7 linked regions of the Mus musculus genome follow. The protein of the gene in region 4 purifies or fractionates together with the protein of the main gene of each other region. This does not show direct contact. Links are inferred from orthologs where the notes say so. Each region holds a gene or a part of one and is shown on either strand. Other genes may lie near its edges.

Evidence for each region.
Region 1: the proteins of Yap1 (region 4) and Btrc purify together in Homo sapiens (affinity purification with western blotting; 16 studies listed by BioGRID and IntAct, counting the BioPlex papers as one, with this or other methods). This does not show direct contact. The link is inferred for Mus musculus from reciprocal best matches to the Homo sapiens genes YAP1 and BTRC.
Region 2: the proteins of Yap1 (region 4) and Usp10 purify together in Homo sapiens (affinity purification with western blotting; 4 studies listed by BioGRID). This does not show direct contact. The link is inferred for Mus musculus from reciprocal best matches to the Homo sapiens genes YAP1 and USP10.
Region 3: the proteins of Yap1 (region 4) and Wwp1 purify together in Homo sapiens (affinity purification with mass spectrometry; 3 studies listed by BioGRID, with this or other methods). This does not show direct contact. The link is inferred for Mus musculus from reciprocal best matches to the Homo sapiens genes YAP1 and WWP1.
Region 5: the proteins of Yap1 (region 4) and Rapgef2 purify together in Homo sapiens (affinity purification with mass spectrometry; 3 studies listed by BioGRID and IntAct, with this or other methods). This does not show direct contact. The link is inferred for Mus musculus from reciprocal best matches to the Homo sapiens genes YAP1 and RAPGEF2.
Region 6: the proteins of Yap1 (region 4) and Ppp1ca purify together in Homo sapiens (affinity purification with mass spectrometry; 5 studies listed by BioGRID and IntAct, with this or other methods). This does not show direct contact. The link is inferred for Mus musculus from reciprocal best matches to the Homo sapiens genes YAP1 and PPP1CA.
Region 7: the proteins of Yap1 (region 4) and Ddx17 purify together in Homo sapiens (affinity purification with mass spectrometry; 3 studies listed by BioGRID and IntAct, with this or other methods). This does not show direct contact. The link is inferred for Mus musculus from reciprocal best matches to the Homo sapiens genes YAP1 and DDX17.

The regions. Positions count from the first base shown.
Region 1 is NC_000085.6:45,362,245-45,366,536, reverse strand, and holds the start of Btrc (F-box/WD repeat-containing protein 1A), read right to left. Parts: upstream 2,804-4,292; 5' UTR 2,699-2,803; coding exon 2,651-2,698; intron 2,457-2,650; exon of another isoform or gene 2,263-2,456; intron 1-2,262. UniProt on the Homo sapiens protein: Substrate recognition component of a SCF (SKP1-CUL1-F-box protein) E3 ubiquitin-protein ligase complex which mediates the ubiquitination and subsequent proteasomal degradation of target proteins. Recognizes and binds to phosphorylated target proteins.
Region 2 is NC_000074.6:119,908,912-119,913,185, reverse strand, and holds the start of Usp10 (ubiquitin carboxyl-terminal hydrolase 10), read right to left. Parts: upstream 2,827-4,274; 5' UTR 2,268-2,826; coding exon 2,247-2,267; intron 2,241-2,246; exon of another isoform or gene 1,750-2,240; coding exon of another isoform or gene 1,654-1,749; intron 1-1,653. UniProt on the Homo sapiens protein: Hydrolase that can remove conjugated ubiquitin from target proteins such as p53/TP53, RPS2/us5, RPS3/us3, RPS10/eS10, BECN1, SNX3 and CFTR.
Region 3 is NC_000070.6:19,625,490-19,629,039, forward strand, and holds part of Wwp1 (NEDD4-like E3 ubiquitin-protein ligase WWP1), read right to left. Parts: intron 2,517-3,550; coding exon 2,383-2,516; intron 2,285-2,382; coding exon 2,144-2,284; intron 1-2,143. UniProt on the Homo sapiens protein: E3 ubiquitin-protein ligase which accepts ubiquitin from an E2 ubiquitin-conjugating enzyme in the form of a thioester and then directly transfers the ubiquitin to targeted substrates.
Region 4 is NC_000075.6:7,952,595-7,956,144, forward strand, and holds part of Yap1 (transcriptional coactivator YAP1), read right to left. Parts: intron 541-3,550; coding exon 359-540; coding exon of another isoform or gene 347-358; intron 1-346. UniProt on the Homo sapiens protein: Transcriptional regulator with dual roles as a coactivator and corepressor. Critical downstream regulatory target in the Hippo signaling pathway, crucial for organ size control and tumor suppression by restricting proliferation and promoting apoptosis.
Region 5 is NC_000069.6:79,142,908-79,147,255, forward strand, and holds the start of Rapgef2 (rap guanine nucleotide exchange factor 2), read right to left. Parts: upstream 2,840-4,348; 5' UTR 2,009-2,839; coding exon 1,949-2,008; intron 1,903-1,948; exon of another isoform or gene 1-1,902. UniProt on the Homo sapiens protein: Functions as a guanine nucleotide exchange factor (GEF), which activates Rap and Ras family of small GTPases by exchanging bound GDP for free GTP in a cAMP-dependent manner.
Region 6 is NC_000085.6:4,190,765-4,194,973, reverse strand, and holds the start of Ppp1ca (serine/threonine-protein phosphatase PP1-alpha catalytic subunit), read right to left. Parts: upstream 2,801-4,209; 5' UTR 2,758-2,800; coding exon 2,703-2,757; intron 2,230-2,702; coding exon 2,098-2,229; intron 1,953-2,097; coding exon 1,722-1,952; intron 1,208-1,721; coding exon 1,103-1,207; intron 508-1,102; coding exon 284-507; intron 203-283; coding exon 68-202; intron 1-67. Other genes in the region: Tbc1d10c (carabin), read left to right, coding at 4,165-4,209. UniProt on the Homo sapiens protein: Protein phosphatase that associates with over 200 regulatory proteins to form highly specific holoenzymes which dephosphorylate hundreds of biological targets.
Region 7 is NC_000081.6:79,543,938-79,548,015, reverse strand, and holds the start of Ddx17 (probable ATP-dependent RNA helicase DDX17), read left to right. Parts: upstream 1-1,274; 5' UTR 1,275-1,771; coding exon 1,772-1,821; intron 1,822-4,078. UniProt on the Homo sapiens protein: As an RNA helicase, unwinds RNA and alters RNA structures through ATP binding and hydrolysis.

The sequences.
Region 1 (4,292 bases), on a different chromosome or scaffold from region 4:
GGTTCCTCTTCAGAGCCAACCCTCGAAACCGGAAAACAAAACTGAGCACTTTTCTGACTTACAACTGGAAGCTGGCTGAGGGCATAAAAGCAGTACTGACTTACTCCCATCCTCTCCCCCAAGATTTCAAGGTCTCTGCTCATTTGCTTGTTTGTAAACAGGGTCTCAAGTAGCCCTGGCAGACTTAACTCCTGACCCTTCCGCCCAGTGCTAGGATTACAGACATTCACCACCACACCTAGCTAGCTTGTTTGGTTTTTTTGTTTGTTTATGGTCTGTTGACACAGGGTATAATTCCGTATGTAGCCCAAGCTGGCTTTCACCTGGCCAATACTCCTGCCTCTTCCTCACCATCCTCCTGCTTGTTCTCTTCCTCCTCCTCTCCTCCTCTTCCTTTTCTTTTTTGTGTTTTTCAGACAGGTTCTTACTATGTGCCTTTAGCTATCCTAGAACTCACTATGTAGACCAAGCTAGACTCAAACTGAGATCCACCTACCAGTCCAGATGTAGGCCACCTTCCCCAGCCTGACTCCACTTCTTAAGTACTGGAGAATAAGGTACAAGCCACAATTCCAGACCTGGGGTCTCAATATTTTAGAAGGTCAACACAGGACAGAAATTCAAGAAATGTCTTTTGGCTCAATAGAATTTTGTGAATGACAAACTTGTGTTTCTGAAGGTACGGATACAAAGTAATGTTTTTGTTGTTTGGCTTTTAGAGACAGAAGTTCTCTATGTAGTTCTGCTGTCCCAGAGCTCATACTACCTGGAGCTGGTACTCTAGACAAGGCTGGCCTTGAACTCAGAAATCAGTCTTGCCTCTGCTTCCCAAGTGTTGTTCCCAAGCCACCACAGCCCAGCTAAAATTTTATCTTTTTAATACACTTTATTTATTTATTTATTTATTTATTTATTTATTTTACGTGTATGGATGTTTTGTCTGCATGTATGTCTGTGCATCACCTGTTCACCTGTGTACATGGTGGGGGGGTGGGGGGGGAGTCCAGAAGAGGGTGGACTGGAGTTAAACCACTGTGAGTAGCCATGTGGGTGCTGGGAATCAAGCCTTCATCCTCTAGAAGAGCAGCAATGGTCTTAACTGCTGAGCAGCCTCTCCAGTCCCCAAAATAAAAAGTTAAATTTGACCAGCTTCTATAAATATGAATGGGACAATTTAAAACCTAATTTCAACTAAGTTAGTATCTATGTTTATCAAATTTGTTATGGCATTTTAGGCAAAGGCACAAAAAAACTATTCAACCAAGGAATGCTATTTGAAAGATGGGTTACAATTACTTCTGAAAAAAAACAAAAACAAACAAACAAATAAACAAAAAACCACAAGACTTGATTGAAAATAATGCATTATCCCTAAGACCACCTGTTAAGCTTAAAAAAAAAATCTATGCATCCATCCTTCTTTAGATGTAACTAGAGGCTGGTTTACACCTAGGCTATACAAGAAAGCATCAGATTAAAAGCATCAAATATCAGACTGGTCAAGGTTGCCAAAGACAAGCACAGCAAAGGAGAACCACCATACAAAGTTACAGAAACAGGGCCTAAGGGGTTGACACAGACCCTAAAAATGCAATACTCACTCTGTACTACAACCTAAAACTCACGGGCAACCACCAATCCCGACTTATCTCACTTTCTCTACTCCCTACATCCTTCCTCTGAAATTTCCTCACATCTCATTTCTCCAAGGACTTTCTTCTCACAGAAAGCAATACAGCACCTGGCTTCCCCCACTTTTTACTACCTCACCACTGAAGGCCCAAGTTTTGTTTTGATTTCTCTTATTGGTTATTAACCTTGTCCCCACTCACCTGTAACTACATTTCTTTCATCGCTTTGTCCTTACCACAAATAATTTTGACCCTCTCCTTCAAAACAGAGCACGTATCTCCTTTCTGATATTTGTAATTCTAGCTCACAATCAACACTGTCTTTCTCTCCCAGGAACTGTCACCATAGCCCTAGGTCTGAGTCCTTATCTTCTTAAATGAGGCCTCTTCCAGAGTTTGCCAACATTAGTAGAGCTAACTGGGATTCCACCCTTAGCCCTTAGGCAAAGGCTATCTTCTCAGCCCATCCTACAAAAATACTTGCCTCCCAGCCATGGTTTTCCCACTTTCGCCGTTACAGCCATCAGTTTCCAGCCCTGCCCAGTTTCCCCCTGCCCCCAGTGTCTGTCTTGCCATTATCCTATCTCCACTATTCCCCACTCCTGAGTGCACCTCCTCTCCCAGGCCTTACCCGTAACCCTGACACCGGGAAGGCCCCTGCCAGCGTCCACAGGCGTCTCTCCACCCGGGTTCCTCCGCTCTTCAGTAACTGTCCCCACGCCCCTTTCCCTCTGGGGCCCCGCGCGCCGCCAGGAGCCCCCACCTCGAATGAGCTCCCGCTGTCACTTGGCCTCTCTTCCACAAGATGGCGGAGCTGCTGCCCCCACCCCAGGGTCCCCTCTGTACCCTCCTGCACCCTCCCCCAAGCTCAGGTCCAGTCCCTCCCTCCGCCTCGCCACTGGCCTTGGCCCCCAGTCCCACTGCCCCCTCCTGCGGTGAGCGGGTGACCCTGGCCTAAGCTCAGCGACACGCCAACGCAGCCGCCTCCACTAGTCCCCTGCCCGCACCCATCTCCTCACCATAAACTTAAGCGCTTTCTCCTGCAGCACCGCCTCTGCCGGGTCCATAATCGCCCGGACTACTGGGTCTGCTCTCCGCCGGGGCCGCCCCTTTCGTGCCAGGCCGCAGCCAACGCAGCGTCCGGATCCCGCCTCCTCTTCCTTCCCCCGCCCTCTCTTTTTACCTCCTGGCACTGGCAGGGGGCCCGAGGAGGACCGCGGCTCTGCGCGTGCGCACTCCGCTGCCTCACGGGACTTGTAGTTCTGGAGGCTCCAGCGGCAAAAGGCAAGGCTACGCGGCGAACAGCAACTCCCACGGGTCACTGCGTAGAGTCGCGGCTGTGTGCAAGCCAAATGTAGAGCACTCGAGAGCCCGGAGGGGAAGTCGGCTGATGGGAATTGTAGTTTCCAGTCTCTAAGAAGGCAAAGCCGGAGTGTCACCGTGGTTACCAAACGACGCCAGTGGCTCCTTGCCTGGCATTTGATAGCAAGATGGCGACTAGCGCTTCCTCTGTATTCCAAATACTAGGAAAATAGAGAACTCAGGGTCCTTGGTTCTCCCTAATTGTGATTTTAGAAAACCAGACCCTCCTAAAGTTCATACATCTGGCATCTGCAGAAAGATTGAGACCTAGAGACTTGAGCCAAGTGTGCATGTAACAGCAGCCTCAACATCAATGCAAGATTCCGATAACATCCTAAGCTATTATTGCCTCTTTTTTTTCAGAAGAGCCTTTTCTCTCCCCAAGCAAGCCAGGGACAGATAGAACTCACTCCAGGAAACCTTGAGTTTAGCGCTCAGAAAGTATGAACTACCATTGCTAACCCTGAGATCAAAGTCCTGTGTTACATAAATGAAATTCAATGACTATCAAGCAAGTGAAATCTATAAGTAGTGTCTTTGGCCATAAAAAGCCAGAAATGGGAGCCGGGCATGGTGGCGCACGCCTCTAATCCCAGCACTCGGGAGGCAGAGACAGGAGGATTTCTGAGTTCAAGGCCAGCCTGGTCTACAGAGTAAGTTCCAGGACAGCCAGGGCTATACAGAGAAACCCTGTCTCAAAAAACCAAAAAAAAAAAAAAAAAGCCAGAAATGGGCCAGGTGTGGTGGCACATGCTTTTAGTCCCAACACTTAGGAGGCAAAGGCAGAGGCAGGTTGATGTAGTGAGTTTGAGGCTAGTCTTGTCTACAGAGCAAGTTCCAGGACAGCAAAGTCTACACTGAGAAACCCTGTCTTGAAAAATACAAAAGAAAAGAGAGGGACAAGATGGGGCTGGGGAGATGGCTCAGTAGATAAGAGTGCTTCCCATGAAAGGACAAGGACCTGAGTTCAAGTTTCTAGCACCCACATAAAAAGCTGGGGTATATGGGCTCAGTGGTTAAGAGCAGTTGCTACTCTTGCAATGAACCTGGGTTCAATTTCCAGCACCCACATGATGACCCACAGCCACTACTGTGCCTCACCTGGAGTAGATCTTTAATTAGGAGAACATCATTGGCCAAGAGAGAATGGTACTTAGGAATAATACAACAAATTTTGGTTAGGTTTCTGTTGTTCTTTCTTTTTCTGGTTGGTTGGTTGGTGTTTTCTGGGTTTGTTTGTTTGTTTGTTTTGTTGGTTTTTTTTTTTTACTTTTTTATTTATTTTGTGTATACGTAGGT
Region 2 (4,274 bases), on a different chromosome or scaffold from region 4:
AACAAAGCCCTAGAGGACATTTAGGCTCCTCCCTAAAACCTGAGAGGCTGAGGCAGGAAAACTCAAGTCTAAAGCACACCTGGGCTACATTGTAACCCTGTCTCCAAAAACAAATCAAAACAAAAACCACCCACTTCGAACATCATGGAGGCTAGCCCTAGGTAACCTGCTAGTATCTGACTGAATGAACTAATTGTTAAAATACTTAGGACTCAAAACAGACTCAAAACAGTGAACTCCTGTTTCTCCTCCTCCTCCCCTTCCCCCTCCCTCCTTCCATCTCCCCCTTTTTCTCCGTGAAGGGGAGAGAACTGCACCGTGCTCTGTACTTAGGGATGACCTTGGATTCCTGATCCTGCCTCCACCTCCCGCATGCAGGGGGTACCGGTGTGCTCCACCTTACACAGCTATTTCACTCGTCTTTTCAAAATAAAACAGGACTAAAACTACCATCACCTCTTCTCCCTTCTACCACTAGCTGACCCAAGGCACTGCTAACATTTGTTTGGTTTCTCCGGTCAGGCTCCATGCAATGCCAGGACAATGGACCCCAAGGAAATCACTCACCACCACTTCCACCAACTGGATATTGTTGCTGGTGCTTGAGAAAGTGAATTCTGCTTAAGCATGCTTTCTTTGCCCCAAAATCATACACACACACACACACAGAGAATTGACATTACAGCTCAGTTCAGAATGAGCAGTACAGACTAATTCCAAAAATAAAACAAGGTAGTCAACTAGAGGTTTTTGGTGTTTTTCGAGACAGGGTTTCTCTGTGTAGCCCTGGCTGTTCTAGAACTCACTCTGTAGACCAGGCTGGCCTCAAATTCAGAGATCTGCTTGCCTCTGCCTCCCTAGTGCTGGGACTACAGGTGTTTTTGAATTGAGCAAGGCTATGAAGGGCTGATGGCTCCAAGGTTTAAGATAGTTGCTCTTGCAGAAAACTGGGGTTCCATTTCTACCAGGACTCAGAGGCTAAGAACCATTCTAATTCCAGTTCCAGGAGATCCAACACCCTCTTCTCGCTTCAATGGGCACCAGGAACATACATATATGCAAGCAAAGCATTCATTCACATAAAATAAAATAAAATAAAAATGCCTAAATAGAACCAGATGTGGTGGTGGTGAATATTCCGAATCGCCAGGGCCTCTGGTGACAGAGGTAGGCAGTTGCCTTAATCGCAAGCCAACCACAGCTGCATAATGAAGACCTGTCTAAAACTTAAAAAAAAAAAAAAACCACTTGTCAAAATATTATTCAACAAATACGAATCGTCTGCCTATTGAAAAAAAAAAAAGCACACCAAATACAAAAGCATTTACAGATGAGGGGAAAGGTCAAACAGGCAAAGTTCAGATTTGATCTATGAAACACCACATACTTAAGAGAACGGAAGTTTCTCCTAGGATCTAACCTTTTATTAAAAACAGTTTCGAGGTTTAAATCCCATATTGCAACAGTTACTAAAACCTTTCAAAAGCACATGGTGGCTCTTGCCTGCAACGCACCAGGCTGAGATAGGGAAAAAAAAAAACTTAAGTTAGAGGCGATCGTGGACCAAGAGAAAGATCAAATAAAAAGACGATCGTTCTTCAAAGGTGGCCTCACCAGACCGACCTCACCTGCCTTGTACATACATCCACCTACCATCCTCAAAAAGGCAATTTTACTTCTTAGTTTCCCGAGAGTCGCAGCCCGGAGAAGCGGCACCACGTGCTGACTTCTCACTCGTCCTAAGTGCATCTTAGGAGAGGGGCTGCAGGAGCAGCTCCGGGCACAGAAAACACAGCAGGCAATCCGGCCTGCCGGGCCCCGACCCAGCCCGGGCTCGGACACCGTGCAAAAGGTGTCAGTCTCGGGCAAACCGGAGTATGCCGCCCCGGCGCTTCCCGGTTTTCTTTGCAATAGAATTCCCGAGGCCAGGGGCCAGGTCCCCGGCGGCGCTGGGCCAGAGCGTCGCCCGGGACTCGGCGGCTGCGGGCCGGGCACGCGGAGGCCTTCCCTGCGGCCTCGGGCGTTCTCGGGGCGGCTCGGACACTCTCGGGGCGGCTCGGGCGCTCTCGGGGAGATTCGGGCGGCCTCCGAAGCCGGGGAAGCGCGGCACTGAGGGGCGCGGCGCGGGCCTAGGCCGGCAGCGTGCCGGCGCCTCCCCCACCGCTCGCCCGCCGCGCACCTCGCGATCGTCGCCCCGAGGCCGTCCCGTGGCCCAGACCTCCCAGCCCAGACACGGCCCGCGCTACCTGTGGGTTGTGGAGGGCCATGGCGGCCCGTCTCAATGAGGTTCGGTGCTGCTCCGGCTTCTCACGCCGCGTCTCCCGTCGCCGCCATCTTCTCGCCGCACAGACACACTCGCAGCGGCCGCCGCGCCTGCGCACTGACTGCGCCGCGGGAGAGCCAGGCGGCGTTCTGCGCCTGCGCGCGACAGGTGGGCGTGCGCCCCGGGCCGGCGACCCTTCTGTCCCCAGCGCGCCGAGGGCGGCTGCTCCAGGCGAGGGCGTGAGGATGGAGCTGGCCAGGCACCCTGGGGCTGCAAGGTGGAGTTCCGGAGTGGTTACTGCGCTGGGTCCGCCTGAGCTCCGCCCTGGGATCTCCGCTGGAGATCTCCAAGGATCCCTTACCCTATGGAGCGCGCTCTTCTGACCGTTCGTTCATTCATTCATTCCTTCACTCTTCATTCTCTTCACTAGCTTGTTTTACCTGGCATTGGGGAAAAAAAGATTTTTTTTTTCTTTGTAAAACATAAAAGTAAACGTTGAAGGAGCTAGTGAGATGACTCAGCGGGTAACGGAGCCCTGCCTCCTGTACCCTTGAGGACCAAATGAGTTCCATTCTCTGGATCCACATGACGCCAGGGGAAAACCAACTACAGACTGTCTTCTGACATACAAAGGGGCACACGCAAAATAAACAATTTTAGAAAGAACTCGTTAATCCAGGAATTGTACTCCTGTGAGCTCAGTATATAGACTGCAGAGGTAGGACGATCATCTATGAATTGCAGACCAGTCTACATAGCAAGTTCCAGGTCACACACAGCTACGTAAGGTAGCTCTGTCTCGGGGTGGGGGGTGGATAGTCATGTTGATGACTTAGCACATTCTGCAAAGGGTAGAGACTCAGTAGGTGTTAGTTATTGCACACACGCAAGTGTATACACACGGGAAAGTTCTTGACTCAGCCATATAGGCAATAATAATAATAAAAACAAACAAAAAACCTTACTAAACCTCCTACTCCCAGCTGTAGACCAGGCCGGCCTTGAGTTCTGAGATCTGCCTATCTCTGCTTCCAGCGTGCAGGGATTAGGGATTAAAGGTGTACACCACTGCCGGGCCAGGAAAGAATTTTATGACAAGCCCCTGTGGGGCAAAGTTGGCAAGTTTATTAAGTAGAGGTGAGAGAGGGTACACGGGTAGGACTGAGTTTAGGATCTAGAGACAAGAAGGAAAAGGATAATGTTCAAGTGTGGGCACAGCTGCTCCAGAGAGTTGCCCTCAGGTGTCTTGGTTTTGTTTTTCTTTGCTGTGCTACACATGTAGCAAAAATTGGCTTCAAACTTTCTTTTCTTTTTTTTTTTTTTTTTTTTTTGGTTTTTCAAGACAGGGTTTCTCTGTGTAGCCCTGGCTGTCCTGGAACTCACTTTGTAGACCAGGCTGGCCTAAAACTAAGAAATGCACCTGCCTCTGCCTCCCAAATGCTGGGATTAAAGGTGGGCACCACCATGCGCACTGGCTTCAAACTTACTTTCTCTCTTTCTCTTCCTTCCTTCCTTCCTTCCTTCCTTCCTTCCTTCCTTCCTTCCTTCCTTCCTTTCTTTCTTTCTTTCTTTCTTTCTTTCTTTCTTTCTTTCTTTCTTTCTTTCTTTCTTTCGTTTTTCAAGACAGGGTTTCCCTGTAAAGCCCCAGCTGTCCTGAAACTCACTTGGCAGACTAGGCTGGTCTCGAACTCAGAAATCTGCCTGCCTCTGCCTCCCAAGGGCTGGGATTAAAGGCGTGCGCCCCATGCACATTGGCTTCAAACTTTCTAGCAGCCAAGGATGAACTGAAACTCCTGTATCTCCCGCCCCTACTTCCCTAGTACAGGGCTACGCTTCATACTCCGAACTCTGGCTCCACAAAGCAAACAAAGCAAAGCAAAGCAAAACTCTACGAGTTGGTTCAATGGTTTCTTTCTCCTGAGAATTTTCTTTTGGCCCTCTTGATTGCACACACCTTTAATCTCAGATGGCTGAAACAGAGGCAGGCAGGTCTCTGATAAAATCCAGACCA
Region 3 (3,550 bases), on a different chromosome or scaffold from region 4:
ATGGTGGTTTCAATTTATACAGAAACACAGTCAGAAAAATAAATGGCCTGGCTAAAAACAGAGACATGAATCAATTTGATAAAATACAGGCCCTAGAGTTAAAAAGCCACTTGACTTTCGTCTAATGAATGGGCAGTTCTTGAAAGATGAGGAACAAATGGAAAAAAAAACAAAAACAAAAACAACAATGTTCAACATCACTAGTCATCACAGAAATGCAAATTAACACTACACAGAGATTCCATCTTACCCCAGAGTTGCTAACAAAGAGAAAACAACAAATGCTAGCAAGGAAGCAGAGAAAAGAGCATCCTTACACACTGCCGCTGAGCATGTAATCTGGCTTGCTTCTATAGTAACTACTAAAAGACAAAAACAGGAAAGAGGACTAATTGCTTACCAAATACCATACAGCCATGGAAATATGCATACAATTAACATCATACAGACTGAATAGGTTATATTTAGGAATATATACGCATATACATATAAACATGTAACAACAGTTAATGAAAGCATGGGTCCATGAATTTGAAGGAGAGCAGAGGTACATGGGAGAGGGCTTGAAGGGAGGGATAAGAAGAGAGAAATAATCTAATTATATTTATAATCTCAACTTGATGAAAATGCGTAAAGTTAGAAATGATTATGTTTAGTGAAATAAACCAGACAGAAAAGCAAAGGTTTCATGCTTCCCTTTTTTCAGAAAGGTATATATTCGTTACTTTTTTCTTCAAAGATGTGTTCTTATTTTAAGTGGATGAATATTTGCCTGCACATATGTTATATGTACCATGTGAATGCCTGGTGCCTGCAGAGGACAGAGTCGGATCTGGAACTAGAGTTACAAATGGTTGCGCGCTACCATGTAGGTTCTGGGAACCAAACTGGAGTTTAGTACACAGGAGCAGCAAATGCTCTTAACTACTGAGCCAATTTTCTAGCTGTCCTGTGACAGGAAAATAGAAAACGAACTGGGAAAGGATAAGAGTAGCTGAAGGCAGTAAGGCTAGGGGGAGGAAATGCAAGACTGAACATACTCAAAGCCCATGGTTACTTAAAACTTCTTTGTACAACCCAGCAGCATACATACTGAATAGATGCCAATAAAATATTTATTATGTACAAGCTAAAAATTGGGATTGTGGGCTGTGTGTGTTGGTACACACCTTTATTCCCAGCAAACGTAGGTGGGTCTCTGATTTTGAGTCTGGGTTGGTCTATAGAACAAATACCACAACAGCCAAAGCTACATAGAGAACCCTTTCTTGCAAAGCCAAAATAAATAAATACTAAAACTTTTCAAGAGTAGTGTGGGATGAAATGTCAGTGAAAGGGGAGTTCCCAGACACAATTCTGCCCATTCCTGGCATAGCTTCAGTCCCTTCATCTGTAAACGAGGAGGCTACATCGCCTTTGCAAAATACTTTACGTTAAATTTTTATCATAAAGAACTTAAAAATAAAAAATTCATACACCAAAATTAACCAGACCCCACATCTATTGATCGTTATAAACATTCTGAAGCTGTGAAGCTTCACACTGGATTTTCACTATTGAATATTTGCATGCATTTATCCATCACCAAAAAATGGCAGATTTAAAACTAGAAAAAATATACTTTATATCCTCTTTTATGAATCAAGTTTCAGTTACCTACATTCATTCAGTCTTTCACTATCATCTCTGATAAGTTACTCTTTCCTGTTCTCTTCTTCAGGTTATACTATCCCGAAGTGCACTTTTACACACACACACACACACACACACACACACACACATTGCATTGTATATGTATATGTGTAATAGGCTAGGAGAACATACAACTTTTCTTTCTGAGATTTTGAAGACTGGAAATCGCTTTCAGCAGCATGTTGTCATGGCTTCTGACTTGGTCAGAAGCGAGACTGCCTATTGCGAATGCACATGGGAAAGTGACTAACGATATGCATTGTTCGAGCAAACTCGAGCAGGATCTGGATCAGCACAGAGCACAAGGACCTGAGCCAGCGGAGAAAGAACCTGACGAGAGTTTTCCATGTGTTTCATAAAAACTACTAAGGTTAAGAGTGTAAATATAGGATATTTCTAATTATATCCCATACCTTCTACAGAATGAATTCAATCAGCTCTATCAACCTACCCAATATATTCATCTTTGTTTTCTTCCGTCACCAGGATATTGGAACCTCCCAACTTTAAATCATGTGAAGTAACTTTTCCCAGAATCTCCATGTCTACAGAAAAGTACATTTCTAAGCCACATTCTTCAATATTGTTATCTCTGGATAAAAAAAAAAAAAATAGTGTGAGTGTGCATATAAACACAGTATAGGAATGGGTTTCAAGTAATTACTTCTATTACAAAAAAAAACTTCAAACCTTATCCAGATTAGAGAGTTGTAAAATTCAGTATCAATAGATTCCAAATCCTTAATAGTAAGTTTTTTACTTAGCATACGCTTGTAGAATGGTAAAGAGAAACCAGTATCAATAAACTTTCCATGGAACAGTGCCTGTTAAAAACAAACAAAACATTTTATTTAAACTTACAAAATAATAATCTTTATAGCATAGTGACAATATAGAAATCATGCAGCTTTACATATTAAAAAGCACTATTCAATGGTATAAAATGTGAAGATTAGCATACTATGCAATGCATAGAAAACTACAATGAAAACATTTATTTCATAGGTCAAACATAATGTACATAAAAACTATAAAGAGATGATGAGACTTTATTACCAAATTCTGCCACTTTTAAATATTTTTAGTAATTAACTTAAACACAGAAATAAAAAGCCCATGTACTTTGTTCCATTCCTTTATTAATCTGTAGGACCCCTGTGTCTTCATGCCTACATACAGCATGAATACAGGAAGACACCAATGATTTTTGAATCCATAATATCTAAAACTATTTGCAGACCCTTAATCTGTTTACATTAAATCAATAAATCATGAAATTATCTTCTTATATAGCTTCAAACCCTCCCCAATGTATTTCTAACAAACTCCCAAATCTAGACAAAATCAATTAAGAATTTATACTGCCTATATAGTGGTAGAACATGCTAGAAGTACATATAGCAAGCTAGCTAGCTATGACCAGCAACCTCATAGAAGCATGTTTACTCACGACATTCAGTTTCCCTGTCTCAGATGACTACGAACTGCTATTCCTTTGTCCTCAAATACTTACTAAACTTACTGCACACAGGAAATGGTAACCGGGAGCACATTTGTGTAGTCTACCCATCTGCTCACCACTAGCATCTCAACTCTCATACTCCTATTGCAAGTAAACTTTCTACCACTTTTGTGAGCAATACAAACTTCTCCCTTTGATTCAAGGTCATTTGCCAATACTTCTTATATTACGGGGTTCATCCAGTTCTTTTTCCTCATCTGGGCTTGGTGGCTATAACCAGCACACAGGAGGTTGGGGTAGGCTATCAACCTAAGCTACAATATCAGAATCCTATTAATTGTTACCAAATTCTCTAGGATACTGCAGTATGAATTTTTCTAAAGCAGATACCTATGT
Region 4 (3,550 bases):
CAGGTGCTTTTCTCTTTTCTTTTTGAAATTGTCATGTAGCTCAGGCTAGCCCTCACATTACAATGTAGCTCAGGCTGGTCCTGAGCTCCTGATCTTTTTGCAATGGCCTCCCAAATTCTGGATGAGAGGGAGAGGTGTGCACCACCACTCTGGCTAATAGCTCTTTATGATGTAGGGCAATGAATTACAGAGCATGTGAGCCAAGGCTAGTCAAGGAACGGGACAAAGACAGGCAGACAGAGCCTACTTTCACAAACCAGACATTCCTTGGTAGCTGATTGAAGCTAAAATGAGAAACACAGACTTGTGGGACGGAAAGCCCAGAAGACAAAGGCTGCACTCTAACCTGTGGTCTCACCTGCCGAAATAATTCCTGTTGTTTCAACCGCAGTCTCTCCTTCTCCATCTGTAACTGCTGCAGCTGTATTTGCTGCTGCTGGTTGGAACTGCCTCCACCCAGGACGCCTCCCTGTGGGCTCTGGGGAGCCAAGGGTGGGGGCTGCTTCACTGGAGCACTCTGAGTGATCCTCTGGTTCATGGCTGAAATGAAACAAAGACTGTCCTCAGAGACTAGAAAAGGATCACTCGAGCATGCAAGGGGGATAGATGAGAAGGCACCATAAAAGTGATGGCTGTGACTCATGGCTGCCACAACTGTTACAGAAGCCTAAGGCAAATGGAACTTGTGTAGCATCAGAGAACAGGAATCAAAGCGGCAAGTTGTACAAATAGATTAAAGAGCCAGCAAGATACTCAGTGGATAAAGGTACTTGCCACCTAAGCCCTATAACATGAGTTTAATCAACAGAGGCCACAGATAAGCACAATTTGATGGCCCACATCTATTTTTTTTAAGTATGCATGTATGTATGTATGTATGTATGTATGTATGTATGTAGAGTACAGTGTAACTGTCTCACACCCCAGATGAGGGCATCAGATTCCATTACAGATGGTTGTGAGCCACCATGTGGTTGCTGGGATTTGAACTCAGAACCTCTGGAAGAGCAGCCAGTGCTCTTAACCACTGAGCCATCTCTCCAGCCCGGATGACCCACATGTACAATCCCAGCACTCCCGCTGTAAGGCAGAAGTAGGGGATCTCCCGGAAGCTGGTGGGTTACATAATCTAGGTTTCACAGAAAGAGAGAGACCTTCATATAGACCCTGCGGGGAGGAACGCCCTCACAACCAAACCACAGTCATTAAAACAAAGGATATGACTGAATCAACAGTTCAAAGACCACTTTCTGAGAACTTGACCAACAAGATAACCAACCCTGATTGTTAATGTATTTCCATAGTGAATGTGCTATGGGGACCTGGAGCGTGCACTTTCCAAGAGAACCTGCAAGCAGCTTTGCTATTGTTCAGTTTGCTGTAGTTTTCTTGGCCTGGTTGTATTTTGCTTGGTTGGAGACAGGGTTACATTCTCTAGAAGAGCTGGCCTGTCACTCACTACAACTCCAGCTTACCTTCTGTCTCTGGTGATCCTTCTGCCTCAGCTTCCCCAGTGCTGGGACTGCAGAAACAAAACACCATTCCCAGCCCAGTCTGTTGTCACCAAGTGTGCTTTATAGTAACGTAATCTATTATCACCAACAGTAATAAAAAAAAAAAGTGTAAAAAACTTGGTCATTTTCTATATTTTAATACATGAAATGCTTATGGGGTTTAGGTTCTGTTTTGATGCTTGTCATATTTCATAATCCCAGAACTTCTCAAAAATGAAAGGTCATTTTCTAGCACTATTCATCTATTTATTGAATAGTTTTTAGGTTCTAATAGTATTTTTTGTTTTGTCTGCATATATGTCAGTGTGCCACATGTGTCCTGTGCCTATGGAGGCCAGAAAAGGGGCAATGGCCCCCTGGAACTGGAAATACAGATGGTTGCGAAGCACGGTGTGGATGCTGGGAATCAAGCGTGGTCCTCTGGAGGAGTGGAAGGCGCTCATCCTGTGTCACCTGCCGAACCACTTGTTCTCTTTCAATTAATTATTAAATTAAGTATATCTGTGCACTACTTGTGTGTCTGGTGCCCTCAGAGGTCAGAAGTAGTTGTTGGATCCCCTGGAACTGGAGTTATAGATGGTTTCAGGTCACCTGTGGATGCTGTAAGAACAACCAGTGCTTTTTATAAGAGAAACAAGCTACATAAAACCTTGAGCTGTAAGTAGGAGTGACAAGAAGGAGAGCACTGCATTGACAGTGGCTATCCATGAGTTTAGCTGGGAATACCGTTTCCCAGGGACCTAATCACAGGTTTGACTGAAATCTGCAGGGACAAGGTGAGTTGAGTGGGAACACCCTTTCCTCAGGTCCCTGTCATTATAGCACTGGGACAAAACTCATAGAGGCTTCCACCAGCCAGAATGGTGCTTAAGTATCACCAGGCTACACACTGGGTACAATACACAGACTTACTGCCAGCCTGAAGATGATGTTGTGGAGCCAACTCGTCCTAAACAATATGTTCAAGTCGTGAATCAGACTAAAGAACTATCTTATTAAAACATTTAGATTTGAGTCTGATGCTTCCTGTGGACATTGTTCAGATTCTGTTTTGAACAAACTACATATTTTTATATCATGGCTGTGTGTGTGTGTACACCAAGAGACACTCTTATATACGAATGAATATATATAATCTTAAAAATTACTTTTAAAAGCTGACTGCTCTTCTGAAGGTCCTGAGTTCAAATCCCAGCAACCACATGGTGGCTTACAACCATCTGTAATGAGATCTGATCCCCTCTTCTGGTGCATGAAGACAGCTACAGTGTACTTACATATAATAATAAATAAATCTTAAAAAAAAAAAAGCTGAGGCCAAGAGCAAATGCCCACTGGAAAGAAAAGTGTCTTTAGTTGTAATTAATTGAAAGAGAACAAATGGTTCGGCAGGTGACACAGGATGAGCGCCTTCCACTCCTCCAGAGGACCACGCTTGATTCCCAGCATCCACACCGTGCTTCGCAACCATCTGTATTTCCAGTTCCAGGGGGCCATTGCCCCTTTTCTGGCCTCCATAGGCACAGGACACATGTGGCACACTGACATATATGCAGACAAAACAAAAAATACTATTAGAACCTAAAAACTATTCAATAAATAGATGAATAGTGCTAGAAAATGACCTTTCATTTTTGAGAAGTTCTGGGATTATGAAATATGACAAGCATCAAAACAGAACCTAAACCCCATAAGCATTTCATGTATTAAAATATAGAAAATGACCAAGTTTTTTACACTTTTTTTTTTTTATTACTGTTGGTGATAATAGATTACGTTACTATAAAGCACACTTGGTGACAACAGACTGGGCTGGGAATGGTGTTTTGTTTCTGCAGTCCCAGCACTGGGGAAGCTGAGGCAGAAGGATCACCAGAGACAGAAGGTAAGCTGGAGTTGTAGTGAGTGACAGGCCAGCTCTTCTAGAGAATGTAACCCTGTCTCCAACCAAGCAAAATACAACCAGGCCAAGAAAACTACAGCAAACTGAACAATAGCAAAGCTGCATTAAAAAAAAAAAGCTAAAAATAAATATA
Region 5 (4,348 bases), on a different chromosome or scaffold from region 4:
GTAGAAGTGACTCAACTGAAGTCAGCTGTGACATTTTTATGATACAGCATTATAGGAGGGAAAAAAAAAAGGCTTATCCACTGCAGTTATCACCATGGGCTGACCCACCACTGCCTGAGGACCTGAGCTGTTTTCCCCCTTCCGACGGCCAAGTGACACATGTCAGTCAGAATGAACTGGACGACGGCCAGCAGCCAGACCGCAGAATCCCAAGCTGCCCATGCCCTGCACTCTGAGCTCTGGGTGCAAATCCTAACACTTCATTTGTCTGGTGAGAATGTGAAGTAGTTATTAGGAAACAAACTCAAGTCTGGCACAAAGCACTGCCTCCTGGTCGATGGGCAGCGCTTAGTGCTCTCCATTCCAACAGCTCTAGCATCTCACAAAATCCACGTGTCGCTTCCCTGACCCATCAATGGTTTTAATAATTCTCATTGTTAAACGTGTATTAGGAATTTAAATGCTACCCCTTCCCACTTGGGGAACGGTTACATGAGAAAGGTGCACGGTGAGCCTCTGAGCCTCTGAGCTAAATCTCTGCAGCCGCCTCGCTCGAGTGCAGATTAAGAGGCACTCTACTCTTTCCTTGGAAGCTCTAACTAACTCCATGGAGCTGGGCGCCAAAGACCTGCACTAAAATCAGACTCCAGTGCGAGTTCTGCTTGACAACCTTTCTTTTGGAAAATGAGGCATATGGTGGCTCTTTTCTAGATTAGGTCTGAAGAGATTTCATCAAGGAAACACACCTAGAACCCGACCAGGATAGGGCTGGACAAGGCACGGAACTGGAATTTGCCAGGGAGGCTCATTCACCTCCTCAGGGTCACTGCATCTAAGGAACTTCCCTGCACCCAACGGAAGAGCTCATCACTTACTGATGACAAAACCGAAACCAAATACTCTAATCCATGGCATCCTACTTACTCATTTCCAAGGCTTTAGTGGTTTATAAGTATTTTTAAAGTTCAACACTACTGCATCAATTCTTACAATAAATTAAAACTAACTCCTATATCATAATGTACAGGTCTAGGATATGTAAGGAGACAGTTCTAAAATGCTTATACACCCACCTAAATCTGAGCACATTATAAGGAGAATAACATATATGTGTGTATGTACATACACATACATATACATATATGTGTTCACATACATACATATGCACACATATATATGTCAATATCATGAACTGGCAAAACGGCAAAAAACTTGTAACATGGTGACACAAAAGTCGCACTACAGGAGTGCACATATTCCCGGAACAGGAGGCTCTGACCTGGAGTTAGACACAGAAATATGTTTCTCACAAATAGCAGTTGTTGCCTGTGGGATTTCAGCAAGACAATCGCACAGCTGACTCATGGGACCAATTACAAAGGAGCAGTAATCTTTCCTGTGGCACTAAAACAATACAGTGTGCTTTCACCACCAATTAACAAATGTTAAGGAGTCAGAAGTGTACCACCGATGGTTTCATTGCCAAATCAATAGCCAGAGCCCCCACCCTCCCACCCACCTCCACGTGCATTCCTTGCCAGATTCCCATGGGCCAGAACCTCTTATAATGATTCACTAAATTCAACCAAAACTGGTTTCTCAAACTGCTTGGGCATTTACTGAAAACTATATTATTTTCTAATGACAAAAAAAAATAATAATTAGCTGTCTAGTATTTCTCAATGTTAGTGGTCCTGTTTAAATGAACTGTTGGTCTTGCTTAAGATTTTCAGAAATCACAGAAAATCGGAAGAATGAGTGAGCTGTAGCTCACCCTCCCTCCCTCCTTCCCTCCCTCCTCTGAGCAGAGGATCTCTCTCTACCCTCTAAAACACTGCTTCCCCTGGAGAAGAGCAACGCTCCATGGAAAAGAACTCCCTGCCTGCTCCCCACATCGCCTGCCCCCCAGCCAGGCAGCCCACGATGCCGGCAGCGCCTGGATACTTACAGACTGCTTCTCCTGCTGGCCCAGAACTCCATGGTTAGCAGGCGCGGCCAGTGGTTTCATAATGAAGAAACATATGCTGAACTGAATTTACACATCATGTACCAACCTCTCACGACGGCAAGTCACCCTCTACAGCATGAAATTAAAAGAAAAAGAGGGGAGGAAAAAAAAAAAGAGGGAGGAGGGAAAACCAGGCTGCAGCTTAAAGTGTCACTACTGGTGAGCCTAAAAACCCTTCACACTTGTAGACAGAAAAGGAATCTGAACGACAGGGCTCGGCTCCATTTTTATCACACTGAAACTCTAACCCTCGGAGGCTCTGACAAGGCTGAGGGAACCTCACCCAGCCTTCAGGCTTCTGATAGAACGAGATCATTTCTGAGGCTGAAGAACAAGAGGCAAAAGAAAAGGGGGGAAAAAAAAGCTAAAATGGCTGACTGCACACAGACTCCCCTCCAAAAGGCTTAATACAGAATTATATTAGCCAGGGTGGTGAAAAGCTAGTCTCTAGCATTCAGCCAAGCATTGTTAACACTCTTGTTTCATTTGCAATCACACATACAGACCCCTCCAACCAAGGAAAAAAAAGAGAGGAAGAGAAAAAAAAATCAGGGCAGAGCGTGTGAATCAGGACCTCCTCCCTAGCTGCTAATGATGCTGACAGTGGTGACCAGTGATCTCTGTCCCACTCCACTAACCAAGTTTACACAATTAATCTCAGCAGTATGACACTGATGGACATTTAATTTAATGATGTCTGTCCCTCACACTCAACACAAGCATGCCTGCTAGCCGGAGTCACTGACAGAAACATGGAACATGCACACACACACACACACACACACACACACACACAATCTCAAGAATCATGAGTCTGAATGCAATACACCAATATAATTACATTATTGTGCTTACTTTGGAGGACCATGGCTGCAGGCAGTTGGCATAGCAACGCACAAGGAAAGCCATTTCCTGGGTAGAGAAAGCTTCCTTTTCTAAATAAAAAAAAATCCCTCTTAGGAAACAAACGGCATTGCTGCTTCCCGCAGAAAGCAAGACACTGTAGTCTGTCTCTTAACCTGCAAGCCTCACACTCGCTGAGGTTCTAGTGATGTAAGTGGGTTTCTCTCTCTCCCTCCCTCTCCCCATATACGCTGAAATATTCAGCTCAAACGGTACACACGTTCCTTAAGGCTCGCCCCCTCCTCTACTTAACCATTTCACTCATTAAGGTAGCGATGGACAATTCAGATAAAGTAACAAGCTCTTGCCTGTATTATATCAGCGGCTGTAGGTTAAGCAAGTCTCAGAGGGATGGAATCCATTGATTGCTGACTCCAAATAATATCACTGAAGACAGGGTGGGAAAACGGAGCAAGGACTTACTTGAACAGCTTTGAACTAAAATATGAATTTTTTTTTAACCAAGGTGGGGAGAAAGGAATCAATGTGACCTCTGCCCCACCCTCAAGTATTATTGTGCCATAGTAAATAAGACTGTCTTAAAATTTATAAAATGCAGGCTTAGCAAGCTTTGTTAAATTTAGAAGATGAAATCACACACACACACACACACACACACATATACACACACACACACACACACACACACACACGCACGCACGCACAGATGCACATATGGTCGTGTCAATAATATTATAATAAACCACCTGGGTTGTTTTTTTTTTTAAACAAACCAAACTTCTAGAGGTGGAACTGAAATTAATGAAGAAATGTTATTCTCCCACGGTCTTAATTTCACCTACGCACACAGGTTACCTGGGAGGAGGCTGCATTACAGCTGACGAGGAATAAAGACACTTCCATCAGCTCTCACAAGCAGCTACACTTTTGAATGGAAGAGAGGACAGAAAGCAGTTATGGAAAACATGTCATCTCTTACAGTGGCCTTTGGCACTGTCAGGGATTCCTACTGGGTCTCTTGTCTATCTGAAGACCGTATCCATCCTCTTCTCTCTTCCCCTCCGTAACAAAAGGCAATTATTCTTTCCAATCATGATGGGAGATTCTTCTCCCTGCCTCCCACCCACTTCTTACACTTCTTACATTACTCATTACCTAATCGCCACAGATTTGAACATACTGCTCCCAACCAAAGATCTGCCCTGTCAACTTTTAAACGTCCGTGCCTCTCCTACCTCAAAGGCAAAATTAAACTAGATTCCTCCTTAGACACAATTTCCTATGTCTACAGACATTCTCTTCCCACACTTCACAACCAAATCTTGCAAGAATTCCTCATTTTCGACTTTCCCTGTTTTTCCATCCTGTATGTTATGCAGATAAAAAGCCGCTTGGATCTGGTACAGGGTTATACATGTTTGAAGCATGTTCAACACCCGTTCCTCCTGATATCCATTACACTGTTTCTAGTTTTCC
Region 6 (4,209 bases), on a different chromosome or scaffold from region 4:
GAAAACACTCATCAGGGTCCTGGGGTTGAGCCAGGCGTCTATTGGGCAGCCTCTTCCCCACACCCACCTGGAAGGAACACATGAGGGTCTCATCCACACTCATCATGGCACCAGCATTGTCAAACTCTCCACAGTAGTTGGGAGCTGAGAAGAGTGTCACCAACTGTCTCTTGGCAAAGAACTCATAGCCATCTTCTACAACCTGGGCCAGGGCAGGAACGGTTTAGTCTGTAAGTTAGGCACCCCACCCCCACCCCCAGCCCGCCCCAGGCCACCAGCCCACCTGATGTGCTCTGCAGATGAGGTCCAAATCATGCTTGTGCAGGAACTTGGCTACCACCTCAGCCCCAAAGGTAAAGGAGACACCACGGTCATTCTCGCCCCAGCCTTGAACATCCTTGTCAGGGTCAGACCACAGGAGATCACACAGTAGGCCCTGGTCAGGCACGTCTGTGGGCCGCATAATACGCCTAATCTGCTCCATGGATTGCAAGTCTGGAGACAGGCCTGGGGGTGGTGGAGTGGGAATAGTGTTCCTTAAACCAAGTGCTGTCCTGTGCCCAGCTCTGGGGTGGGACAGCTCCACTGTTCCCACCGCTAATCTGGGCTCCTTAAGTTCAGGGAGACAGAATCCATTACTTCCCCACTGGCCCCATTTCTCTGTGGCCTTGGCTGTCCTGGAACTCACTTTATATGACACCACCACTTAGAAGTACAGATAGCAGACCTCGGGGGTGGGGGGGCAGAAGGAGATTAATGAGTTGACTACAGGATGCCTCATGCCACAACAGGAAAGAGTGCAACCAAACTGGTGGGTGGAGCATGCCTTTAATCCCATCACTTGGGAGTCAGAGATAGGCAGGAGCTCTAGTGAGTTCAAGGCCAACCAGGTCTACAAAGTGAGTTCCAGGACTGTCAGGGTTTTACCCAGAAAGCCAGTCTCAAAAACAAACGGGGGTGTGGTAATCTCCCCTAATAAGCGATATCCAAGATGAGATTCAAGGAGCGCTATTCCAGGGAACTGAGAAGAGTTCTGTTAACTTTACAAGGCCCCTAAGGATGTGGCCCAAGAACCCAAGCACAGACCCACAACCACTCTCACCCCCGTGGCAGCAGAAGATCTTCTCATCCACAATGGCTGCAATGGGCAGGCAGTTGAAGCAGTCAGTGAACGTCTTCCACAGTTTGATGTTGTATCTTCTCTTGCCTGCGCAAAAGGAAGCGGCTCATAGGGAAGACTACACCCCCAACCCCCAACCCCAGTCTAGGTTTCTGTGCACCCATCCAGGGACAAAGCTGAGAAAAAAAGACCGAAAAGCAAAGAAAGCTTACATTCTTCTCTTTGCTCTACCCTCATCTACCTTCCAGAATTCCAACACCTGAACTCGTCTGGCCCAACCATGATGGTGGTACCCACTCTGGTCCCATGGATGAGGCCAAACCAGGAGTGGGTCTGTTTTATTCATACAGGCATCCTAAATGTTTACTAAGGAATGTACTAGAAGGGGGTGTCATCAGGCAGGGCTGTGGCTTTAGCAAATGGGCAGCCCTGCATGTACATCCATTCACCAGGCCCCTCCTGAGCGCCAAGGACGACAGACGTGTTGCTGGGGCCCTACAGGGCTCATCATTGGGGGTCTTTTGGCACTAGACCAATGTAGGGGGCCCATGAAGAGCAGGGAATGTAGTTCTGGGCAGACAGCAACATTCAAAGCACTTACATTCATCATAGAAGCCATAAATGCGGTTGATGCTGGCACACTCATGGTTCCCACGAAGTAGAAAGAAATTCTCCGGGTATCTGATCTTATAGGCCAGCAACAGGCAGATGGTCTCCAAAGACTGCTTGCCCCGATCTACATAATCCCCCAAGAAGAGGTAGTTGCTCTCTGGAGGGAAGCCACCATACTCAAACAGCCGTAGAAGGTCATAGTACTGGCCATGGATGTCACCTGGGAACCAGAGAAAACTAGGTAGGTGCAAGATGTAAACTTGACCCCAGGGCCAGCAATAGGTTAAAGGGTGGAGGAACACGGTTAATGGGGCACGAGTAGGGGCTATTTTCAGGAAGCAAAAGGGTTCTGTGCAAGGATTTACCACAGATCTTGAGGGGCGCCTCAAGCTCCAGAAGAATGGGCTGGCTCAGGAAAATCTCCCGGGATTTGAGGCACAGACCACGGATCTCGTTCTCTGTCAGCTGCACGTTCTTCCCAGGCCGTGAGCCCTGCACTGAGTACGGAATAGGGTCTTGGGACCCTGACCTCGCAGACCGGACGAGGGTAGGTGTCGCGCCCCCCTAACAGGGGCAACTGTTGCAAGTGAGCCCCCACCCCCTCACCCCGAAACCTTTGCGTCAGGCCTTCAAAGGCAAGATCCGACCCCTTAGCCACCCGGAGGGCCTCCAGAGAAACGCCTGTGCTCAGCAGCCTGTCAGCCGAAGCTTCCTCGCTTCGGGATCCCTTCCCAGCTAGCTTCGCAGGAGCCTCACCCTGAGTCCCGGGCACTCGTGCACCCCCGGCCTCTGAGCGCGCTCCAAAGCCCAGGCGCCCGCGGGGGGGGGGGGTGCCGTGGCCATGGATCCTCACGGCCTGTCCCCGCCCAAGCGACGCTAGCCCCCGGGAGCGGCGGGCCGCCCGCGCGCCACTTCCAGACGGCGAGGGGCCCGGGCTCGGCGCGAGCGCACCTTCCCTACCCCTGCCCACCTTCCAGCAGGCGCCCGATGATGGAGTCCAGGTTGAGCTTCTCGCTGTCGGACATGGCGGCGCCGCCGCTCCGGCCCACCAGCTCCGGGCCCTCTCCTGCCTCCCGCCCTCTTACAGCCTCCTTCCGGCCTGGCTCTCCTTCCGCCCTCCCCAGCCCGCCCCCGGCCCGCCGCCCCTCCTCTTCGGTCGACCGCCCCGCCCCGCCCTGCCGCGTCCGTAGTTCCCCGCTCTCTAGCGCCTCCCCTGGACGGGAAGCTCCGCAGCCCGAGAGGGCCTCGGGCGAGCGGGCGGGGCTGGCAGGGGTGGTGAGCCGGGGTTCGGTAGGGCGGGGTTAGGTCGGCTCCACCCTGGAGGAATCGCCCTGCCGCGTTCAGATGAGTTAGGGCCGGAAGTACTGTAGGAATTGTTTTTCTCTTTCCAAGTCTCTCCCACCCCAGCCCTGCGTGGGACTGTGGTATGAGCATGTTAATCGCTGACTTCTCAAACACTAAATAAATTCCTCGAAGTGCAGAAAAAGAAACTAAGGCTTAATGATACTGAGAGTGGGCTCCAGACCTCCGGAGCCTCACATTCACCTCCATCTTTATGGCCAGACCCATGAACACCTGCTACTGAACTCTAAGCAGTGTTTTGGTCCAGGTTGCCTTGGTGCCTGCTACGTCCATTTTTTTTCCATAAGTGATGTAATACGTTGTATCTCGTTCATGTTGTAAGTCCTTTGTAGAGTACTTGGACTTGTCTAGCATGTGCAAGGCCTGAGGTTCCAGCTCCGGCTCTGGAAGGAACATTAAAGTAGGCTTGGTGTCGTAAACCTATAATTCCAGTGCCTGAAATTCCTGCACTCAGGAGTCTGGACACAGGAGGATCAGAAGTTCAGGGTCATCTCCTGTCTGGGCTACATAAGACCCTGTTCTCACACTACCCCTTCACTCTCAAAACAAAACAAAACAAAAAACCCGGGGCAGGGGGTTGGAGGGGTGGGATGACATTAAAGGATAATTATTATTGGAACCATAAATTGGTTTTACTTGGTAAAACTGAAGGTGGCCTGTCATCTTCAATTTGGGCCAGCCAGGGAATCAATACACCCAGCATCCTCTGGATGGGAGGAGGTCGTGGCTCTGGCACTAGGGCAAGCAGGAAGAACCTCACAGAGGAAGGGGGGAGTCCCCCCACCAGGGAGGGGCCCCCAGCAAGCTGCTGAGCTGAGACTGAGGAGGAAGTGAGAAGAAGAGGTGAGGTGCAGCAAGGAGGTGAGCCGGGCTGCTGGGGTAGGGGCCAGGCTTGGGGCTGGGGCTCTGCACAGAGACTTGGTCTCAGGGTCTACCCGACTCCCCAGCAAAAGAGGGGGCTTAGTCCCCTGTGACTGAGGACTGGTGGCTGGAATCCCCAGCCTGAGTCTGGCTGTTCACACTGGCTCTCTGTATGTCTTGCAGCCTGTGACACTGGGGTCCAGGGCAGAATGGCCCAGGCCCTGGGAGAGGACTTGTTATCAGAACTACAGGAT
Region 7 (4,078 bases), on a different chromosome or scaffold from region 4:
TTGTGTCACCCTGGCTATTCTGGAACTCACTTGGTAGACCAAGCTGGCGTTTAACTCAAGAGATTCACCCACGAGTGCTGGAATTAAAGTATGGCCTTCCCTTTAGTGTTTTTTTGCTGTTGTTCTTGGAGGTGCTGGGTGTTGAATCCAGGGCTTCAGTCACGGTCAGCAAGCACTGTTCCACAGCCTCAACACCATTTTCTTTTCCAAGTCAGCAAAAGTCTAACATACACATTTGTCATCTGTCTCCTCTCCGTCTCTAGAGAATAAAGCTCTGTGCCAAGGAACGTGTTGGATCCCCAGTGTCCCAGCAACTAGCACAATGCCTGGCTCTCCATGGCCGAAGTGACAAATGAACCGTTTCTCAAGACGCCTCTTTACTCTCCTGGCTTTCCTAACCTAAGCAACACTCAGGACATGAGACAAGACTAAGCCTCCAGTCTGCCGGCCTCCATTCTCCGCGGCGGTAGAAATGAGCCTAGAGGTCTCAAGGAACCCAGCAGTTCCACAATTTAGTAAAGCAACTATGTCCAAGTTTGTGTGGCTTGGCAGTGCGCAGGGATGGCGAGCCAAAGAAAGCAATCTAGGAGTTGGGTGGCACCGGCGGCCTAGCCCAGCCTGCCCTCCCCGGATAGGGTTTGCAAATCCTAGCCTGTCAAACCCACCGCTTCTGCAGTGGGGCACCCGGGTAAGGCACCCATTTTCATGGTGGCTAAGGTCCAAGGCGCCCACCTCAGAAAGGACTCTGGGAAGGTGTGGCCTCTGCGTCAACTACGGCCAGAGGAAAAGGTGCCAACCCTTTGTTCGGAAAATAGCACCTCAGTAAGAAACGCGGGAAACACAGGGTGTCTTTTGGCCCAGCCAGGCTGTTGGCCGCTGAAAGAGAGCGACACGACGCATCCAACATGGCTGCGGCGCCAGCGCGGCGAAAAGCGACGGGAAAGAAATGGCGCCGGGCTGTGTGGCCAGCTTGGGGCACACGGCGTTGGGACGTTGGAACCAAGAAAGCGGCCTCAAGACTCTCTGGGTTCTACTGCCCAGAGACCCGGAAGTCTGACTAAGGCTACGTGGAGTGCTACCATTATGTCTGCACAAGGCCGGCCTCAAGCGCCGGGTTGAGCTCGGAATGCCGGGAAAAGTCCATTCTCGAAACAGAATGCGCTACGAAGACTGCGCTGACCCGCAATAGTGGGCGGGCCAACGACGCCAACACTGTGACGTCGTGCCGACGGCTCGCCCCACCCCCAGCCAACGTTCTAGAGCTGGCGGTGCGAGAACCCTACGCCGGTTGCGCACATTGCCTTGTTTAAGGTGGGCCGACCAGGGCCCCCATCTCCGTCACCGACGTAAAGCGGTTCCGAGAATGTCCGTGGCGTCGCGCGGAGCCCTCCAGACGCTGTTTACGTAGCGTCTGGGCCGTGCGTAGCGTTAAGTTGGAGCGGTCTCCGCGGCCGCCGCCATTTTGTGCAGTTGCTGGGAAGGAAGGGAGACGCCTCAACCGTGGCACCGCCCGGTTTGAGCGGGACCAGACCTCCCGACTGTCCTAACAACCCCGATTCTCTGAGTTGTGCTCCCGTCTCCGACGAGAGAGGCGGCGACGGTGGCGTCTGCGACGGGAGACAGCGCGTCGGAGCGAGACAGCGCCGCGCCTGCCGCCGCCCCAACAGCGGAGGCGCCGCCGCCGCCATCGGTCATCACTAGACCCGAGCCGCAGGCCCTCCCGAGCTCGGTCATCCGTGCCCCGCTCCCAGATCTTTATCCGTTTGGGACCATGCGTGGAGGCGGCTTTGGGGATCGGGATCGTGACAGGGACCGTGGAGGGTAAGGGGGAGGTGCGGGCGGGGGGCGGGGTGGCCCGCAGAGCCCTGAGGCTCGCGCCGTACAATGGCGGCGGCGCGCAGGCCTCAGGCTTGGGCGGACGTCTCTGCGGACCGCGATCCTGGCTCGGAAGTGGCAGGCCAGCCTTGTCGCCTCTCTTGGCCCGCTCGCTGATCATTTGATCCCTGCAGGCCGGCCGCAGTGTCTGTCTGGGGGAGGATCCGGATGCTCAAGTTTTAATCTAGGAAAAGCTGCTTGAGATCGTTTCTTTTCCGCTATGTTAGCCATCCCTGTTAGAGAGGGACTGGAGTCGAAAAGGCCTTTTTTTGGTTTTAAACTAGGTTTTACTCCCTTTCTGTTATATTTTTGGTTAAGTGGAATCAGATTGGAATGGGAAGTGCTGGAGTTGCTTTCCAAAAGATCCAAATTGCGGGTGACTTTTTTTTTTTTTTTTTGAAACTAACAAAGCCTGTTGAAATCAAGAGAACTCCTTGAGGTGGCACACCCTGCACTAGAGACTGAGTCAGGCTTGGAGTTCAAAGCTAGCCTGGGCTACACAGATCAGAACAAGAGAACAGTTAGCAGAGTTCAAAGTGAGGGCAGTGGTAGAAAGAAAAAAAAATCAGAATAAGCCTTGTAAAGGAATCGTAATTGTAGAAGCTTTATTCTGTCCTAGGTCATTATTCAAGATCCAAGCAGTTTGGGATTATAAGCAAGCCCAGTGGAAATAACACATAGGAGCCACATTATTATCCTTATTAGACTTAGCCTTAAAATCTCCTAAAGATTGGGTTTTGGCCATTATTACAGATTGAAAACAAAAGAAAACTGGTTATTTCTAGAAGTGTTTTAGACTTGTATCAGTTGCTTCATTTGCAAGTGGAGTAAAGTAGTCAAATGAGAAGGCCTGGCTCACTGTAGTATTGCACTGAAAAGCCAGAGGCCTTTTAAAGGTCTTGGTGGGTCTACTCAGTTGAATGTTTTTCTTTCTAGTTGTGCTGGTTTAGCAGTGGTATTAATAAGTCACCCAAATTCTGCCTACTGAATGTAGATACCCAAAGAATTCCAGTAAAATTTCTGGCCATGATCACTGCAGGGTGGGTTTGTCTCAGGGCCATGAAGCTTAGTCTAACGGTTGTCCTGGAATGTGTCCTCAGTGTCCCCAAGTTCAGAAACACGGGTGTAGGCCACCACACCAGGTTCTAACAGAAGAGGGGATTACCTTGTGGGGTTCCTGCTACCTCTCCCAATATTGGCAGGTCTTGAAATGAAATTCTTTAAAATAACTTGAAATTTCTCCAATTTTCTAGTGGTTTACAGGAAATAAGGAAATGAGATCTTGCAGAGCATGGTGGCTCATGCCTTTAATCCCAGCACTCTGGAAACAGAAAGAGAGGCCTCCAGCACAGCCAAGGCTATATAAAAGAAACCCTGTCTCGAAAAACAAAAGAAAAAAGGAAATGAGATTTTTTTTTTTTTTACAGCCCTGTACTCTCATAGATTAAGACAAAGAGGGTATATTAGGATTGTAGTTTCTAATTTCTTGTATCTTAGGTTTGGCAAGTGGCCATATCTATATTGTTTAGCTTACCTGTTTGTTGTATCTAAAAGACAAGGCTTATTTAAATCTGAGGGGGGTTTGTTTTGACACAAGTCTCATAGACCAGACTGCCCTTGAACTCTGACCTTGCCCACAGCTTTCACGTGCTAGGACTACACGTTATTCAATACCATGTCTAGCTTTGAATCTTATTTAAAAAACAAAACAAATACCCATAACCTACATTGATGGGGTTTTTGTTTTGTTTTCTCCCTGTAACTAAATAGTATTATTTGACCCTGGTGTGGTGACTCACATTTATAATCCCAGTGTTTAGGAGGCTGAGGCAGGAGGATTTCATAAAGAAGGCTGGAGAGGAAAGGATTACAACTCTTTTATTCTGGCTCTTTCTTTAGAGTAAACTAAACACACTAGACCCTGATGTCCCAATAGTTTGCTTTATAGAGTAGCAGAGAAGTTTTTGCCCCCAGCATAAGTGGGGAAATTGGCTAAGAAGCTGTTGTAAATTTGAAGGACTTGCTTGAAGTACATTTTTTTCGATGTCCACAGTCTTGGTCTTGCAGTTTAAAAGAGTACCACTTCTCTGCAAGAGCAGAGACCGTTAGTTTTTATTGTATCCAGAATCTCTAGTGCCAATTAAAACTATACTTAGTATAAAGTCGGTATCACTAACTTTGTCAGAGAGCTAAAATAGGTGGG